2 linked regions of the Arabidopsis thaliana genome follow. The protein of the gene in region 1 interacts with the protein of each later gene in a pairwise test. Each region holds a gene or a part of one and is shown in the gene's direction. Other genes may lie near its edges.

The links.
Region 2: the proteins of AT4G00238 (region 1) and MBD6 interact in a two-hybrid assay, tested with the Arabidopsis thaliana proteins (one large-scale study listed by BioGRID).

What each region holds. Positions count from the first base shown.
Region 1 is NC_003075.7:103,148-107,249, reverse strand, and holds AT4G00238 (DNA-binding storekeeper protein-related transcriptional regulator), read left to right. Parts: upstream 1-2,028; 5' UTR 2,029-2,120; coding exon 2,121-3,158; 3' UTR 3,159-3,427; downstream 3,428-4,102. Other genes in the region: PLDBETA2 (phospholipase D beta 2), read left to right, coding at 42-218, 301-498, 577-870. UniProt on the Arabidopsis thaliana protein: Transcription repressor that binds DNA in a sequence-specific manner, 5'-GCCT-3', to regulate the expression of PGR. Acts as a modulatory component for the glucose-triggered developmental leaf growth process.
Region 2 is NC_003076.8:23,950,130-23,954,434, forward strand, and holds MBD6 (methyl-CPG-binding domain 6), read left to right. Parts: upstream 1-2,002; 5' UTR 2,003-2,191; coding exon 2,192-2,500; intron 2,501-2,909; coding exon 2,910-3,032; intron 3,033-3,110; coding exon 3,111-3,356; 3' UTR 3,357-3,578; downstream 3,579-4,305. Other genes in the region: ACT4 (actin 4), read left to right, coding at 1-39, 131-524, 673-1,286, 1,392-1,457. UniProt on the Arabidopsis thaliana protein: Transcriptional regulator that binds CpG, CpNpN and CpNpG (N is A, T, or C) islands in promoters regardless the DNA methylation status. Plays probably a role in gene silencing. May associate with histone deacetylase proteins (HDAC).

The sequences.
Region 1 (4,102 bases):
GAAGATTGTGAAACTAAATGTCATAGTTATCGTCTTTGCAGCACAAGACGATGCAAATGATGTATGGAACTATCTACAATGCGTTAGTGGAGGCCGGGCTTGAAGATGAATACTCCCCACAAGACTATTTGAATTTCTTCTGTCTTGGAAACCGAGAAATGGTGAACGGAAATAATGAATCGGGTACAGGAAGTGCAAGCAACGAGAACACTCCTCAGGTAACAAAACCAAACTGCTTGACTTGCTAATGCGGTTTCTATCGTCATTGATTGATGAGTTTTGATTGAAACTGTATTATAGGGATTATGTCGAAAGAGCAGAAGATTTATGATATATGTTCATTCAAAAGGGATGGTTGTTGATGATGAGTATGTGGTAATTGGATCTGCAAACATAAACCAAAGATCAATGGAGGGGACAAGAGATACAGAGATTGCAATGGGAGCTTACCAGCCTCAACATACATGGGCACGACGACAGTCAGGTCCTCGGGGTCAGGTAATAGCACACAAAGATAGTACACACATGGTTTCATAGTCCTAGTCGTATCAATAATACTTGGTACATAATCTGCAGATCTACGGATATAGAATGTCGCTTTGGGCAGAACACATGGCACTGCTAGATGATTGCTTTGTGGAGCCAGAGAGTCTAGGGTGTGTAAGGAAAGTGAGAACAGTGGCGGAGGAGAACTGGGAACAGTTTAGGAGTGAGGAAGTGTCGGAGATGAGAGGACATCTGATGAAATATCCGGTGGAAGTTGATCGGAAAGGCAAAGTCCGACCACTTCCAGGAAGTGAGGAGTTCCCTGATGTCGGAGGAAACGTTGTTGGATCCTTTCTAGCCATACAGGAGAATCTCACTATCTAATCATAAGCAGAGTCGCATTTATTAAGAAGACCTTATATGTGTAAACAAACAACAATTGATCAGACTTTGTAAATAAACAAAGTTTGATGTTTCTCCTCAAGTTTGAATAACAAGTAAAAAGAAGCTACTTAATCCTAATTCTATTTAGAATAAGAAATCATGTACATGAAAAAGCTTTGGCCTGGCTATAAAATCCGAAATCCGAAAACCGATCCGGAACCGAACTTGAACCGAATAGTTACAAAATCCGAATGGATAATGAATTCTCCTATCCGAATTACTCGAACCGAATCCGATCCGAACCGAAATCCGAGAGGATATCCGAAAACTGAAAAATATATATATCCAAAAATATTATTTATATTTAGTTGTAATTTTATAATAAATAACAAAATATCCTAAATAATAAAGAAATTGGAAATCTTTTAGTTACATTTGTTAATAGTATACATACTTTTGCAAAATTTAACCAAATTTTAGTAAAGATTAAACCAATTTTTATTTAAGTTGAACAATTTTTAGCTCTTTAAAAACCGGTCCGAATCCGACACTTATCCGAACAAAAACCAAACCAAAGATTAGTAAAATCCGAACGGATAATAAATTTTCTATCCAAATTATCCGAATCCGAAAATATCCGATCCGAATTCGATCCGAAAATTCATAAAATCCGTACGGATAATAAGTTCTCCTATCCTAATGATCCGAATCCGAATATATCCGATTCGAAATCCGAATGTCCAAGCCTAGCCTGGCTACTAAACTTTGTCTATATTTAACGGCAAAGATCTCTAGCAGTAGTAGTATCATTCAAAAAATGAGAAGACTGTTACAGAGACTAAAGAGAGTGTGTACCATGCGTATCAGATTCAAACTAATAATGTTAGCAACCCCTGAAGAAGATAAGACTATATGCTTATTGTAGCCTTTATTCTCTGTTGAATCCTAGCAATGAACATTATAGGCAGAGCAAAACGACTAATATGAAATGGAGAACACTAGACAAGACCAACCGATGATACTTAGTCTAAAGTCAATACCTTGTCCCTATCAAGCCCACCAAAACTCTTAGCAGACAACATTCGAACAACCTTAATTTGTTGTTGGGCTTTGTTTAATTAGATTGTTTGTTAAATATAAAAGAGAGTGAAGAATGTTCAGCGTTAAAGGAAAAAAAGTCTCGCCGCTCACTAACCCTAAAAAAAGTAACTCTCTCACTCACTCTTCTTCATCATACCGAAAAAAATCCAATGGCTTCTTTGGAAAATCCAGCAATCGATTCTTCAAGCGAATTTGAGAGTTCTTCTGAAGAGATCTCTTCTTCTAAAGAAAGCAAACCCAAAGAAGCTCCCGTCACTGTTCCGTCAACAAAAACCCTAAACTCTCCTTCCGCCGCCGTGGCAGTTTCTGATGACTCAGAGTCAGAGAAGCAGTCATTCGTCTTAACCAGGCGGAAGAAGAAAGAAGGTGCTGCTGAATCACCGGCAGTGAAGTCAGGGAAGAAAGAAGGTGCTGCTGAATCACCGGCAGTGAAGTCAGGGAATAACGAAGGTGCTACTGAATCACCGGCGGTGAAGTCAGGGAAGAAGCGAGCTAGCGAAGGAACCACGTCAAGGGACATGCATGTCAAAAGAATTAAGAAAGAGGGCGATAACAAAAAGGGGCATGCTCAGAGAGTATGGAGTGAAGAAGACGAGATCTCTCTCCTGCAAGCAATGATCGATTTCAAAGCTGAGACAGGTACAAGTCCTTGGGATCATAAGGATAGGTTTTTTGATATCGCCAAGAAATCTATAAGCTTTGATGTTAGTAAAGTCCAGTTCTTTGACAAGATTAGAAGCTTTAAGAGAAAGTATTTTGGTGACCGGAAGGTGAGAAGTGTTGAATCGGATCATGATAAGAAGTGTTTGGGTTTGGCTGTTTCTTTTTGGGGATCTGATGGTGTGAGCCTTGAAACTCCTGTGAAGAAGAAAGTGAAAGATGAATCTGTTCTTGTTAAGGCTAATAGCAAGGAGAAGAACGTGAAACCTTTGGTTAAAGAAGATGAGCAAGTCGTGATTCTTGGAGAAGATTCGGAGTGGTTTGAGGAGTCTTTTCTTGTTCCGGTTATCGCTAGTCTCGGTTTGGATGAGTATTCTGTGAAGAAGAAGTGGAGCAAGGTGTCCGTGGAGACTAAGAAGAGGATTCAAGAGAAGATGAAGCTTGTGGATGCTAAGAAATGTGAGTTGTTGTTGGCGAACATGGATGTTTTGAAGGAGGTGACTTCAGTGCTTACTCAAACCAACTAAGAAGAAGAAGAGGAAGCTATTGGATTGTATATGTTTATCCGTTTAATCTCGGGTTTAATGAAGATGTAATGCCTTATTTTGTTATCTATCTTAGGCTTCATCTTTCTATCTACTCTAATGAACTTTTAGGACTTTGGATTCTCGTGTGAGAATTAGCTTTGTCTAACAAGCCTTTTGGTCGATGGTTGTAATGAATTAGCTAAGTTGTCTAACTAGCCTTTTGGTCTATGGTTATAATGAACTTTTAAGACTTTGTAAATGTGCTTCTTATATGAATGTCTCTCTACTCGTAACCAGAGTTATTACAAAACAAAGAAACACACAACAGAATGTGGGAGATTGTTAGCTATCATACCAATTGAATTTTTACATGTTGTGGTTACTACTAACTACTGTCCCAATTTCATATCACTTGTTGAGCTCTTGCTCTGCTTACACTCTCCTTTAGCTCAGCAACTACATGACTCATCCTCGGTCTATTCTTAGAACTAGAAGATGCACAAGCCATTGCTACTTCAGTGATCTTCCATGCCGAACCAGCATCAAACCTCTCCCCTAGCTTTGGATCCACAATGCCTCTGATATCTCCTGTCGACAGCATTAAAGTCGACTCAGTTATGTGTATGTTCTCTGCTGTTGTTCTTGAACGTGCAATCACCGGTTGGCCTGTGACAACCTCTAAAAGAACAACCCCGAAGCTCTAAACATCACTTTTCTCGCTTAATTCTTGCGGTCAAATGGTACCTTCATTTTGTAAAACAATGTCTACAGCAGCAAAAGACCAGTGACCAAAACAAAGTAGCAAATAGACTGACCTGACAAGTAATCTCCTAAGGTTCCATTAGCCATAAACTCATAGATAAGCGCCATCTTCTTGCCTTCGTGGCAGTATCCGATAAGAGCGGTTAGGTTCTTGTGATGAACTCTCAGGAGAAGTTCGACCT
Region 2 (4,305 bases), on another chromosome or scaffold:
CAACCGCTTGTTTGTGACAATGGAACTGGAATGGTTAAGGTAAAGTTTCTCTCTAAGACTCTTATTGCTATGTCACATATATATAAGGCTATGCCATAAACGACTACTCAAAAATATATCCCGTGCTTAGGCCGGATTCGCGGGTGACGATGCACCAAGAGCGGTTTTTCCGAGCATTGTAGGCCGTCCTCGCCACACGGGTGTGATGGTAGGGATGGGACAAAAGGATGCTTATGTTGGAGACGAGGCTCAATCAAAACGTGGTATCTTGACTCTGAAGTACCCAATTGAGCATGGAATTGTTAATAATTGGGATGACATGGAGAAGATTTGGCATCACACTTTCTACAATGAGCTTCGTGTTGCCCCTGAAGAACATCCGGTTCTCTTGACCGAAGCTCCTCTCAATCCGAAAGCTAACCGTGAGAAGATGACTCAGATCATGTTTGAGACATTCAATACTCCTGCTATGTATGTTGCCATTCAAGCTGTTCTCTCACTCTATGCCAGTGGCCGTACAACTGGTCAGTAACACACTTATATTTGTGTTGATCCAATCTATAACCAGTTTTTTTTCATGCTTGATTTTAAATAATATGAACTATTTTAAGGACTATTTGGTTATGCTTTTATGGACAACCCTAATTGGTTCTTTTGCAAATTATTGATTAGGTATTGTTTTGGACTCTGGAGATGGTGTGAGCCACACGGTACCAATCTACGAGGGTTACGCTCTCCCACACGCAATCCTACGTCTTGACCTAGCAGGTCGTGACCTCACGGACCACCTCATGAAAATCCTCACAGAGCGTGGATACTCCTTCACCACAACTGCTGAACGTGAAATTGTTAGAGACATGAAAGAGAAGCTCTCTTACATTGCTCTAGACTTCGAGCAAGAGCTAGAGACTTCCAAAACAAGCTCGTCCGTTGAGAAAAGCTTCGAGCTTCCTGATGGACAAGTGATAACCATTGGAGCAGAGAGGTTCCGGTGTCCGGAAGTTCTGTTCCAGCCGTCAATGATCGGAATGGAAAATCCAGGAATCCATGAAACCACATATAACTCTATCATGAAATGTGATGTGGATATTAGGAAAGACTTGTATGGTAACATTGTGCTAAGTGGTGGAACCACAATGTTTGGAGGGATTGGTGATAGAATGAGCAAAGAGATTACGGCTTTGGCTCCAAGTAGTATGAAGATTAAGGTCGTGGCTCCACCGGAGAGGAAGTACAGTGTATGGATCGGTGGCTCTATATTGGCTTCACTCAGCACTTTCCAGCAGGTGAACACATTAATATACATTTTTATTATTATTTGATCATGTATAATATAACATTCATAAGTTTGTTTTGATATAAATATTGGTATGTGTTTGAAAACTTGACAGATGTGGATTGCGAAAGCAGAGTACGATGAATCTGGACCCTCAATAGTGCATAGGAAATGCTTCTAATCACAGTTCCTAAGATCACCAAACGAAGACGGAAGTAAAAGTAAAAGACAGAAGGTTAAAAACATTGAGATTACTACCAAATGCCACATTTTTCCATTATATTTTCTAATCTCTCTTTTATCCTTTTTTTTTTGAATAGCCTCTCTATGTTAATTTTTCAACTAAGCATACTTTTCTTTAAACAATTTCCACTCCCAATGTACTATATATAAGCGACTAATTTCAATTATTATATTTTCTATTTTAAACTTAATTTATTTGTTACTCAAAAGAGATTTTGTGATGGTTAAACAATTGTGACTAATATACTTCAAAGACATCCGTATCAAACACAAAACAAGCTCCATAATGTTGATCTAGTACAAACAATTGTGACATATAAATGCATATTGTCGAAACTCACTAAATCTTAGATTACTCGGTTAAATGGATGTGGTCTAATAAGTGTCAATAAACACAACACAAAATGTTAAACTGATGGATTAGTGATGAGAAGATGAGTTTAAATGTTTCATTTAGTAATAAAACGTGTTTATTATGTTTGTTGGTAAAGAAAAGAAGAAACGAATTGTTGATGGTTAACTAAATTTTAATTTCTTATTCGATCTCGGTTTAACCGAACCGAATCGTAAACCCAGAAACAGAAGCTGCGACGGAGAATCCATTTCTCGAGATCGTCGCCGTTAAAATCTGCGATCTCATTGCTCATTGGTGAAGACAAATCCCTAATTCGTATGTCAGATTCTGTGGCCGGCGATTTCCCTCCCGATCCACTTCTCGCCTCCGGAGCCTTCATCTCCTCCGCCGGTGACGGAACCCTAGACAGTAGTGCGAAACGACGACCGATTCAGGGAGGAATCGGAATTTCTGGTTCGGGAGAGAGCGTACGCATCGGGATGGCTAACGGCACTGATCAGGTGAATCATCAGACGGAATCGAAGTCGCGGAAGCGTGCGGCGCCTGGAGATAATTGGTTGCCTCCTGGTTGGAGAGTTGAAGATAAGATTCGAACTTCCGGTGCCACAGCTGGTTCGGTGGATAAGGTAAAGAATCTCAGCTTGACTCTGCTTTTCTCTATGAAGTTTTGAGCTGCGTTGTTGCTTGAAGACTACAAATTGAGGATTCTTTGATTGCTGTTGTTTTGTTCTCTTTGGTTTAAAAATCTTGCCTTTAAAGTAGTGACAAGTGTAATGATGTAGTAAAATGATGTGGTTGGTTCTGCTTAAGCATTAATGAGTTTGTTTAGATTATGTTAATGGTGTATTGGGACTTGAATCATACACTTTATCAGTGTGATTAGTGTTACTTTGATTTATCAGGTGGATTTAGATGGTTTGGTTTGGTATATATTGTGATTGAAGAGATGAAGTTTTGGTGTTGTTATACTCGATGCTAATATGGGTGTAGATATTGATGTGTAGACTTGTGACATTTTCTTATCTGGTTTTGCAGTACTATTACGAACCAAATACAGGACGTAAGTTTCGGTCCAGGACTGAGGTGCTGTACTACTTGGAACATGGAACTTCTAAAAGAGGCACCAAGAAAGCTGAGAATACATATTTCAATCCAGACGTGAGTTTACATGCTTAAAGATTAAACCTTTCACCCTGGTTTCAAACCTGTGATGTGTATTGAATTTTGCATTTGCAGCATTTTGAAGGCCAAGGAAGCAATAGAGTCACCAGAACCGCTACAGTGCCTCCACCTCCGCCACCGCCATTGGACTTTGATTTTAAGAATCCACCAGACAAGGTAAGCTGGTCTATGGCAAACGCAGGAGAAGAAGGTTGGATACCTAATATTGGGGACGTCAAGGTTCAAGACTCAGTGAGACGAGATTGGAGCACTGCGTTTACCTTTATCACAAGCCGAAACCCTAGTAAAGTGTCGGCTTGAAGACTATGATGACCTGGTGGCGATTTTTGGGTTGTTGCATCTATGGTAAGATACACAGATATGTTAGGGTTACTTAATTGGATAATTCTTGTTTAGTCTTCATTCATCAATCATCAAGTTATGTGTACTATAATTTTTGTAGCGGTTTTTGGAAGAATATGATAAGGGGATATGCATCTTTGTGTTTGCTTTTGGAACGTGATAACCATTCGACTTTTGACTGATGAAATTGAAGACACTGTCGTAGTAACAAAGCTATTCTTCTTAGACATTTTGATACTGAACTATTCTGTGTTCCAAAGTCTTTTACTTTGTGTTTAGGAAAAGATCTTGTTCTTTGTGAAACCAGTGTCGTAATTCAAGAACTAATGCTTGACATGTCTCACCTGCTCAGGTTATCTAAATCTAATGGATAAGAAGAAACATCAACAATACTGCACTGATACAAGACAAGAAGCGTCTGTAGTCCAACGGTTAGGATAATTGCCTTCCAAGCAATAGACCCGGGTTCGACTCCCGGCAGACGCAATTATATTTTTCCCAAACATAATTTTAGATTTTGTTAACCAAACAATTTGTGGGGTTCGAATGTAACTGGTTGTAGCACATTTAATATCTGCAATAAATTATCAAAAAGGCCATTGGAACTCTCCCAACCCATCGTCTAATTTAGTAATTTTTGGTCTTGTAACCTTCTAGGTGTACCAGAGGCTTCCTTATTAGTCTTGTATCCCAAGCTTTTGAAAAAAAGTGAAACGAAAAGGTTTTAAGTTTTGTTGGCTTTTGACTATCATTTCCCCTCTCTGTTTATTAAAATTTACAGTATTGCCACTGAGTTTGCTGCGACGGTCTGTCTCTTCAAAAAGCAATTTTGGGGAGGAAGAGAAAACCTTAAGAGTCAAACGGAAAAAAAACACACACTATTTTTGTGATTCACCAAGCAGAAGAA